Linked DNA regions of Oryzias latipes. The main gene of each other region encodes a partner of the protein of the gene in region 2 in a complex. Links are inferred from orthologs where the notes say so. Each region holds a gene or a part of one and is shown on either strand. Other genes may lie near its edges. The genes, in order: dffa and dffb.

Evidence for each region.
Region 1: the proteins of dffb (region 2) and dffa are in contact, whole or in part, in an NMR structure (PDB 1F2R), measured with the Mus musculus proteins. The link is inferred for Oryzias latipes from reciprocal best matches to the Homo sapiens genes DFFB and DFFA. Residues at the interface, in NP_031885.3 of Mus musculus: Cys10, Lys12, Arg14, Ala19, Cys20, Lys21, Phe22, Gly23, Val24, Ala25, Ala26, Arg39; in NP_001020467.1 of Mus musculus: Asp66, Thr68, Ile69, Val70, Asp71, Asp72, Asp74, Tyr75, Trp94, Tyr96, Asp100.

What each region holds. Positions count from the first base shown.
Region 1 is NC_019865.2:9,511,836-9,516,384, forward strand, and holds the start of dffa (DNA fragmentation factor subunit alpha), read right to left. Parts: upstream 2,840-4,549; 5' UTR 2,735-2,839; coding exon 2,641-2,734; intron 1,440-2,640; coding exon 1,281-1,439; intron 1,198-1,280; coding exon 1,043-1,197; intron 49-1,042; coding exon 1-48. Other genes in the region: peroxisomal membrane protein PEX14, read left to right, coding at 3,109-3,144. UniProt on the Homo sapiens protein: Inhibitor of the caspase-activated DNase (DFF40).
Region 2 is NC_019865.2:672,092-676,388, reverse strand, and holds the start of dffb (DNA fragmentation factor subunit beta), read right to left. Parts: upstream 2,855-4,297; 5' UTR 2,792-2,854; coding exon 2,681-2,791; intron 2,521-2,680; coding exon 2,394-2,520; intron 2,327-2,393; coding exon 2,141-2,326; intron 1,417-2,140; coding exon 1,337-1,416; intron 1,269-1,336; coding exon 1,095-1,268; intron 1,035-1,094; coding exon 934-1,034; intron 863-933; coding exon 613-862; 3' UTR 1-612. UniProt on the Homo sapiens protein: Nuclease that induces DNA fragmentation and chromatin condensation during apoptosis. Degrades naked DNA and induces apoptotic morphology.

The DNA.
Region 1 (4,549 bases), about 8.8 Mb from region 2:
AAAACCCAGAGCTGCTGCTAGTTCGGTGCTAGGAGCATCCACCAAGAGCTGAAAAACAAAAGTTGTTTGTAAAGCAACAGCTGTTTAGAACTGGATACAAATGTGAGGCCATATTTTAGTGTGTGTACTAAGCTCTAGATATAATACACAGCACAGGGAGAGCATAATCTATAAGGTTTATTTTTGTCAACTAACCAAACGTAAACATATATATTTTTTGAATAAACAACAACAAAAGCAAATATGAACTAAACAACAACTCCTAATTCGTTAGGAGTAGAATCTTGTGTGGAGTTCTTTAACTTTAAATGAAATAAAATTAATCTGATCAAAGGTTTTCTTGAGTTGAAGAAACATTTTTATTTTCATAATGTAATTTATAAAAGAGCATTCAAACGTTGGCCTTTGGTGCTTTTGTAGGGTTGGATTATAAAGTAGCTTCACTAATTAACTTATAAGTCCTAAAAAGCAGTTTAAAGGTACGAAAAATGTAGAATATTCTACAATTGTGGCTTGCTTGTGGGAAGCAGAAGCACATAATTGTGTTGTAAAGCTGACATTTTGGAATTCAAAAGTCTGTGGTTAGAAAGATTATTTCTGATTATTTAAGGAGTTTCTTCGCCTCACACGTGTATATGTCTATGCATATTTACCTAAATGTTAAGTACCAGGAAGCGGTGTGCAGAAGACTAAATTGTTTATTTGAATGGGGAGACAGATATAAAGTCCAAAAAAGTTATGGAATTTTGAGTTCTTCAAATTGACTTTGACTAAAACAGAAGACTTTTGGTGCTAAAGCTTAGAAGCATCTAACACCAAAGTGGAGTTTCTTGGCCATAATGACCAATAGTAAGTTTACGGTGGCATAGAAAATATGGTTTTATTTTGTTTTGCAAGTCAGAGAACTTTCAAACCTTATGGTCACTGACAATATTCCAAAAATCTTTATGGAAACCGCTAAACTGTTATTTTTAAGTTTTATTTTCTCATATACCAGGCAGTTTTGTGCTGTTCTATCACTGAAATAAGAACAAGGTAGGACCTGTAAATCGGCCTCCGACATAAGAATGATGCTGGTGAGGTCTTGTTTTAGCTGCTGAGCCAGGTCCAACCAGGGTGCTAAGCTACTGCCGGTGTCAACAGTGTCCATCTCCAGCATAACCGATTCCCTCTGCATCCAAGCGGTGCCACCATCGACTAAAACAAAGAGTACCAAAGCACAACATGTAGAAATCCTGCAGACGGATAATGATCATCAATATGGACTCTGAGATTCTTACTCTTGCGAGCTGGAGACCATGTTTCCTTGTCATGCAATAACATAAACTTTGTATTTGAGGGCAAACACAAGAAGTAGGTTTGATCTTCTACTATTGTCCCGTCATTCTCCAGGACCACTTTGACTGGGTCACCGGGGCTGAAGCCAAGATACTCGGATCCTGGAGCCGGAAGAGAGGACAGGTTACCAACTTAACATGCATCAAGTGAACATACTTCATCCTAAGGTCCACAGAAAAGTCTGACACCTATGGGAAATACCAATGATAAAAACACTACAGTAAGGACAGGCATGTCCAAAGTCCGGCCCGTGGGTCAAATGCAACCAATTTCCACCAGCCGGCAACCTCAATAATATGCGGCCCACAGCACTTTCTAAGAACTACAGTTTCTTGATTGTGATTGGCTAGATTGCGTTATAAACCGTGGACCTATGCAACAACCTGTAGACATGAAGAGATTTATTTGTTTCTGTCATCAAAACCACTTCTGACTAACATAATATTTGTGTTATTTCATTGTTCAATGATAGAAACTGACAAGTTTACAGTTAGCCTTTAACAGTGAATAATTGGATCAAACTGGTTTTTATAGGCCAATTGGATGGCCCTCACACATTTTCACCTCACCAAATCTGGCCCTCTTTGAAAAAGTTTTTGTTCCAGTATAGCTGGAAAAAATAAAAACGTTTTCACTGTTATTAAAAATACATATTGTTAAATAATTCTCAAACAGCTTTCATAACAAATCTGCAAAACACCTTTAATAAGCATTCCGATTAAAAGGAATATATCACAATTATGGAACATGTATAAGTGCACAAAAGAAATATTTAATAATAATAATAATTTTAAAAATGCATAAACTATAATTGCTGGTTTTAGTTGTTGTTGTTGTTGTTTGTGTGTGTGTGTGTGTGTGTGGGGGGGGGGGGGGGGGGTTGTGAAACATTGTTTTGATTCCAGATAATGAATATTTAAAGTATATTCTTGCAAAAAGCAGATCAGGGAAACGCCTGGTGACTCGCATCTCAGGAATGAACAGCAGCAGGCTTTTCATGTTAGCCATGTAGGGGTTAACATTGAACAGATAATATAATTATAGTCAAATACATTCATAAGCATTAAGAATAGCCTAGTATTATCACCGTTGTTTTGCGGCTTAAGCAGTTTTAAATGTGACAGTCAGTGCAGCGGTTGGAGATTTTCTCTCAATTTAGGCGCGAAGCAGATAAATAAAAATAAATGCTTAAAATCTGCGACTGCACGAATACATGAACGGCTTCTTATTTTGATTAAAAGCATATAATGTCAGATAATCTCATACTAGTTCCCACAGTCCTCCTTCTCGGTCCTCCCTTACCTTTTTTCTTCAAGTCATCTAAAGAAGGTGCAGACACTCCGTAGGATTTTTGCCGGGTGAAATTGCACACTTTACACGCCTTTCCATCAGTCATTCTTAAATTTATTCTGAAAGGATAATATTATTCGGTAAAGGAATCTACAGAGAATGGGAAAACCCGCTTTGAGCTCTCAGCCACCTTTACTTCTTCATACACGGAAATAACCGCCGAAGGGCGCTATGAATTGTGGGAATTGTTGTTTATTGTTTGAGAAATGGGGAAAGGTTTAGTCTACCTATCTCCACTCTGTTTCGTAATCCGCTCAACGTATTTCGCAACTGAGAGGGGAAAAATACATCACTGTACTTTGTTCCGATGAAAGTGCATCCCAACTAAACTAAATAAAACGCTTTAAAGAACTTTGATGTTTCGAATGGACGGAACAGGAAAAGCAATCGAGCGTGGATATCCCAGAGAACTATAGGAAGATGGCATCCATCGACCAAGCTGACACGCCAACACAGGTCTCTATACACCAAGCCAGTTAGCATTTGACGTCCGAAAACATTTATGCACCATTTGTTTGAGTTGCTATTTTGTGGCTGGTTTCCGTACACCTTTTAAGCAAACGTTTCACAGCCGAAGAGAGGTAGCTTGTTTGCTAGTTAGCATGCTAACTGGTTGTGTTATTTTAAAGTGGTCTTCGACACATGGGAGGTCAAAGGCATTCTGGGGTTCAGCAACAATTATGCATTTAATAACTGACCACGTGCTACAGCTTTCTATATGGCGGTGAGGGTTTGGGTCTGTCAAAGTCATGGATTATAATTGTTGACACAGGGAAAGGTCACAAAAAAAAAAAAAACCTCGGGATTTTATATTCGACATTTAATGTTCCACGAACATGGATCAAAAATAATTTACTGCAGTTACAATGCTTTATACGGCTAAGCTTCACCATATCTGAAATGCTACCTTTATGTTTTCACAAATTCAGTAATCATGGTGCTCTCCAACTCACTTTAACGTAAAAGTCGATCCCAGAGCAGTCTTAAAAGTTTCCAAAAGTCACCACACTTGTCTGGGTAAAAAATATTCGCACATTCTATCATTGCACTTTAAATTTCACAGTAGTCTTCTATATTAAGTCATTAAACACCAAACAGTGTCATTGGTTCCCTCTAATGCACATTACTATGATTTGGAGCTTTTCAGTGTCCAGGTCCTGTAATAAGCCCAAAATAACTGATAAAGATGTTTTTGTCACATTCTACCTTGTCCTTTTTTATTTATTTTTTTACTTGGAGGGCACAGTATTATTGTGTTTACACCCTATTTGTATACTTTATCTTGTTATCTTCAACCTAAAATGGTCTGTTTGCCCTGAGAAATATGATAAGAAAAACTCCAAACCTTTAACTTTGCCATGAGGATTCATCAAGAGGGGTTGGAAAGCCAGTAACTATTGAAAAAAAAACTGCTTTTTTAGTTAAATTATTAGTAACTGTTGTTGAAATTATGGAATATTTCCTGTATTTTTGATGTCTTCTATTCAGACCTAAACTTTCACTGGTATAATTTTTAAGGATCAAACTCTAGCTTAAATTTGATATGATTAAAAAAAAAAAGAACCCCTTAAATTATGTATTTACTTTTGGGGTCCTTTTTAGGTAAAAGTCTACTGAATGCATTTAGCTGATTGCAGATGGAAACATTTAAAGACGTGATGATTTTTGGAACTGAAGAGAATGCATTTATCCCTTGTGCTATCCTAGGCACTTTAACATTGGGAGTTGGGTCATCTAGACCCCACAAGTCAGTGCACTAAACCTTTTTTCTTCAATGATTTGTGATTTTCACTGGTGTCCATGGATTCCATGAAATCCTCTTCACCTTTATCCACCTTTGTCATGGTAGGGAGAACACATC
Region 2 (4,297 bases):
AGCCAATGGTCACGGCGTCAGGACCTGGTGTCTTCTCTTCGCATCCAAGACAATGAAGCTACTTCAAGAAGAGAAGCTGGGTCCAGACGCCGCGTCGGTTTGGCTTTGGAAGAGCGGCAGAGGTTCTCGGGTTCCACGATGCAGTTTTTCCAAATCGGCCTGAAGATCAAACCTGGACGACACGTCAGGTGATCCAACGGGGCAGAGACCTGCTGTACAAGTCTGATTCACCAAAAGTTCGGCAGCTTTTCCTCATGAATGTGTGAGACGCCAGCGCAGCTACTAATCCTGAAGGAGCTTCTTCACGCGTGACCTTGATATAACGTTTGTACTTTTCTATACATTTCCATCTGCAGATGATCAGTAGATGCGTTGGATTTTTAGCAGGTTCAATGATTGCACTAAACACAACATGGCATGGTTTGTAAAAACGGATCATTCTGTGAAATCCTGTACATACTTTACTGCCTTATTTATGCAGAATGCTTTGATCTTTTAAGTTTAGAGTCTATGATTGTATTTGTGCCAAAATGTTGGGGAAATAAAACCTTCCTGATTGTGAAGCTTTGTGGGAAACGCTGCACTGATTGAGGGAAGAGAACGGTTCTCCGTCTAAAGAACTCGCCTCTTCTTCACCTGGACCTTCTTCTTCACTCCCCCTGCGTGGCTGGAGGCCCTCACCGCCATGCTGGCGTCGCATGAAAGGTTGTGACCTCCTTTCTTGTGACAAACGATGTGAACCAACTTCAGGTTCTGTCTGGTGAACAGCAGGCCGTAGAAATAGTCCAGGTTGACCGCTGAGCTCTGGTGAGTCTCTAGGAGCTCCAGCAGCGTGGGAATGACGGTCCTCTTCTTCTCAATCCTGAGACGACGTGAAAAGATGGAGAAGATGAGCGTGGAGGTGTGGCATCGACCAAAAGGCTGCAGACCCACCTGTGGTCCAGGTTCCAGGTGCTGAAGATGATCCTGCTCTCCCTGCTGCTGTAGGGGTTGATGGAGTGGAGCTGCTGGCACGTCCTCTGGTCAAACGGTCCCTGAAGGAGGACAGGATCAGCTCCAGAGCTACAGGCAGAACCTCTGCTGACACTCCTCACCTGGCAGGTGAACCATCCCTGCTGCGTGCAGAGACGGCGCCGTTCCTCTGCGCTCCTGTCGAAGTAGCTGCCGTTATAACCGTCACCTTTCAGCATTTCTACCAGGAGCTTGAAGGCTCTGGAATATTCCTCTCTGACTTTGGCTTTGTTTATGCTTTTGGAGGCCAGATCCACCTTCAAACAGGAAGAAAGGCTTCAGGACCGTGGACCCGGCGGACCCGGGTTCTGATCCGGAGACTCACCTCCTTCAGGTAGCCTCGTATCCTGCTGGCACAGTTGTACTTCATGTAGGCCGACTTGGTTTTAAATCGAGAATCAACTCCTGAATGGAGACAAAAACGAGTTTGGAAAACTTCCCCTGTAGAACCTTAGAATGTCCGCTGAAGGATGTGGTGCCAGAAAGTCGGTACCGCTAAGGGCGTCACTGTGCACGCCGTCTGCGCGTGTTCAATTCCCCGTTGGAGAACTTGGTTTCCACATTGGAAAACTGACATAAATACTGAGGTAGCTTTTACTTAGATTCTACAAAAGGTAGCGTGGACTTAGTGGAGGTTTGTGAGCAGCTTTGGTTCCATTTCACATCTTTGTGAAAGTTACCAGATAGACAAGGTCCCCAAAACATGGAGGAATCTCCATGAAACGTTCGCCGTTGCAGACCCGAGTCTGGCAACAACGTAAAATGTAAATACTGTATGATAAACTGCATTGGGTAGATGTAAAGCAGGTAATAACATAAAGGTGACGAAACACTGCAGGATCCGTTTAATAATGTCCTGTGACACATTGATGGTGTTTAGAGCACAGATAGGGAAGATGTGGTATTGAAAAAGACAAACCTGTGATTCCAACGTTTCCCATTGTTTTCTAGCCGCAAAAACAAATCAGCAAGACGTAAAATATTAATAACTTGCTTAATTTGAGATCTACTTGATTTATTTCTGCGTTTGGAATTGGAAGCTCTATTGTTTGTGGTCACCAACTTTGGACCCTAGAAATGTGTGGACCCACAGAAAGTTCTTGGGAAACATCCCAGCCACATCTCGTACCGCTGAACCAGTCCTGGTCCTCCTGCCTGCTCTCCAGCTCGGACCGGTCCTCCAGGTTCTGCAGCAGGTCGGCGAGGATCTTCCGTCTCTTGAAGGACTCCTCCTCGCAGAGAAGCCATTTCGCAGCCTGGATGAGGCCCTCAGCATGTCGGTCTGTCTGCAGAAGCTGACTGACGTCGCTAAAAACTACAACACCCACAATGTTAGAACTACAAACCCAAACCGGAGGGGTCTGCAGGTGAAACTGTGGTACCTCCACCCCATGTCTGCTTTCCCGACAGGAGGACCAGCTCGGTGTTCTCCGGCAGAGTCTGGAAGAACTCCTGGGTCACAGTGGTTCCGTCTTCGTACAGACAGAACCGGGCCCCAGACACCGGCAGCTGAAATCCAACGAAGCAAAAGTTACTGCAGTTGGTTCTGGTCGTGGTTCTACCAAATCAGTGACGGCTTTTCTGGTTTGGGGTTTGCATCATCATGATCAGTCAAGTTCTCAAACGAAGCGAGCCGTGTTCCGGAGAACCCTGAGGAGTTCGGGCTCACCTGGAACAAGCGGCAGCTCTTCTGGAGCAGCTCTTCCACGTCTCTGCCTGCTACTCCGTACTTGCTGTTTCCACGCAGACTCCGAACTTTGACGGGTTTGATTCCGAACATGTTTCCTCTTCGAACGTGCCGCTTCCTGGCCGTTCTTCTTCTGCGATCCCCATGCTGCTGCGCCGCGGTGCTGCCCCCTGCTGGCGTGGTCCCCACTGACAGGAAAACACGTTCAAAACAGCTTTCCCGTCTAGAATGGAAATTGTTTATTTCAGGCGATCAAAGCAAAAATAATAAGAAAAAACAACAACAACAGAAATGTAAATCTCTACAGAGATATACTAAAGAAATCTGCGGAGAATCAGTTTAGACAGAGCAATATACGGCTTTTATTTTGAAAGTCCACATCCGCTTATCAGCAAGTTCATTTACATCAGGCCAAGGGTCTCAAACTTGGGTCCCGCGGGCTATTTGCGACCCCCAAGATGATATTTTGCGGCCCCCGCCTTAATATGAAAGTTTAATGTTAATGCAGCCGGCCAATTTGTATGAATGACACTTTTTCTTTGTCGTGCGCGGAGCTGACCAACCAACCAATCACAGTGGGGTAAATGTCTCTTGGGGGCGTGACAGTGACCGGGCTTGAAAGCAGCACCTGACAGCCCCCTCCCCAGACCACACTAAGGAGTTCCTTACTTTCCTTTTTAGAAAGTGTCTATTCGCTCGTTATGTGGGGTTGTGAGATGAAGGCGAATCTGCAGCAAGACTGAAGGAGAACAGGAAGCTGGAGTTGTCTTTAACTTTCAATTTCGTTTTAATATGCCTTACCCCCTATGATCTGTGTTATTATATCTTTTATAATTATTTTAATGTTTTTTAATGTATGTAGACTTTTTTTAATCAATTGGTATTTTAAATTATTTTAATTGATCAGTGAACTACAAAAACCCATCAGGACACATGTCCCACAATGCATTGTTTTGTAGTCATGCGGGCAGCTTACAGTCAGTGCAGTACTAAATTTCCAGCGTGATCTCAAACACGCTTATTGTGCATCTTGGCTGCACATATTTGGTGTCACCAACATGAATTTCCATCCGTTTTGGAGCCGTTCTTTGATCTCAGGTAACCATTGTTCTGATCTCCAGTGAACAGTACCCGTTCTTTTAGGAACCACAGTTTGAATTCAACTATGAAAATATAAGAGTGGCTGACCGGCTGCTCTACAACATCTTGTGACCGGGGTTTAAATGTGCAAAAAGTCATCAGGAAGAAAATCCAAAAACGATTTCTGAATTTTGTTTTTCCTTTACTGATTTGTGGTTTAAAGAGTAAACTTAAAAAAAAACTTTCAACACAGACTCAAAATAGGGAGCACATCCTCTCTGACTAAATTTCAATAATCATCTTCATCCACACTGAGGGTCTCAGCTGTTTGGGAGGAAGTGCTGCCAAGTATCCATCAGTGAGAAGAAGACAAGAGAATCCGTGTTCAGAAGAATCATTGATGGATTTACAGAACTGTAGAATTTAAGTCTTCTTTTGTGTTTAATAGTTATAATTTAACAGTGTTAACTGAACTGTGTTAATAAAGATGTTTAAATCAGAAAACAGTAGATATAGAAG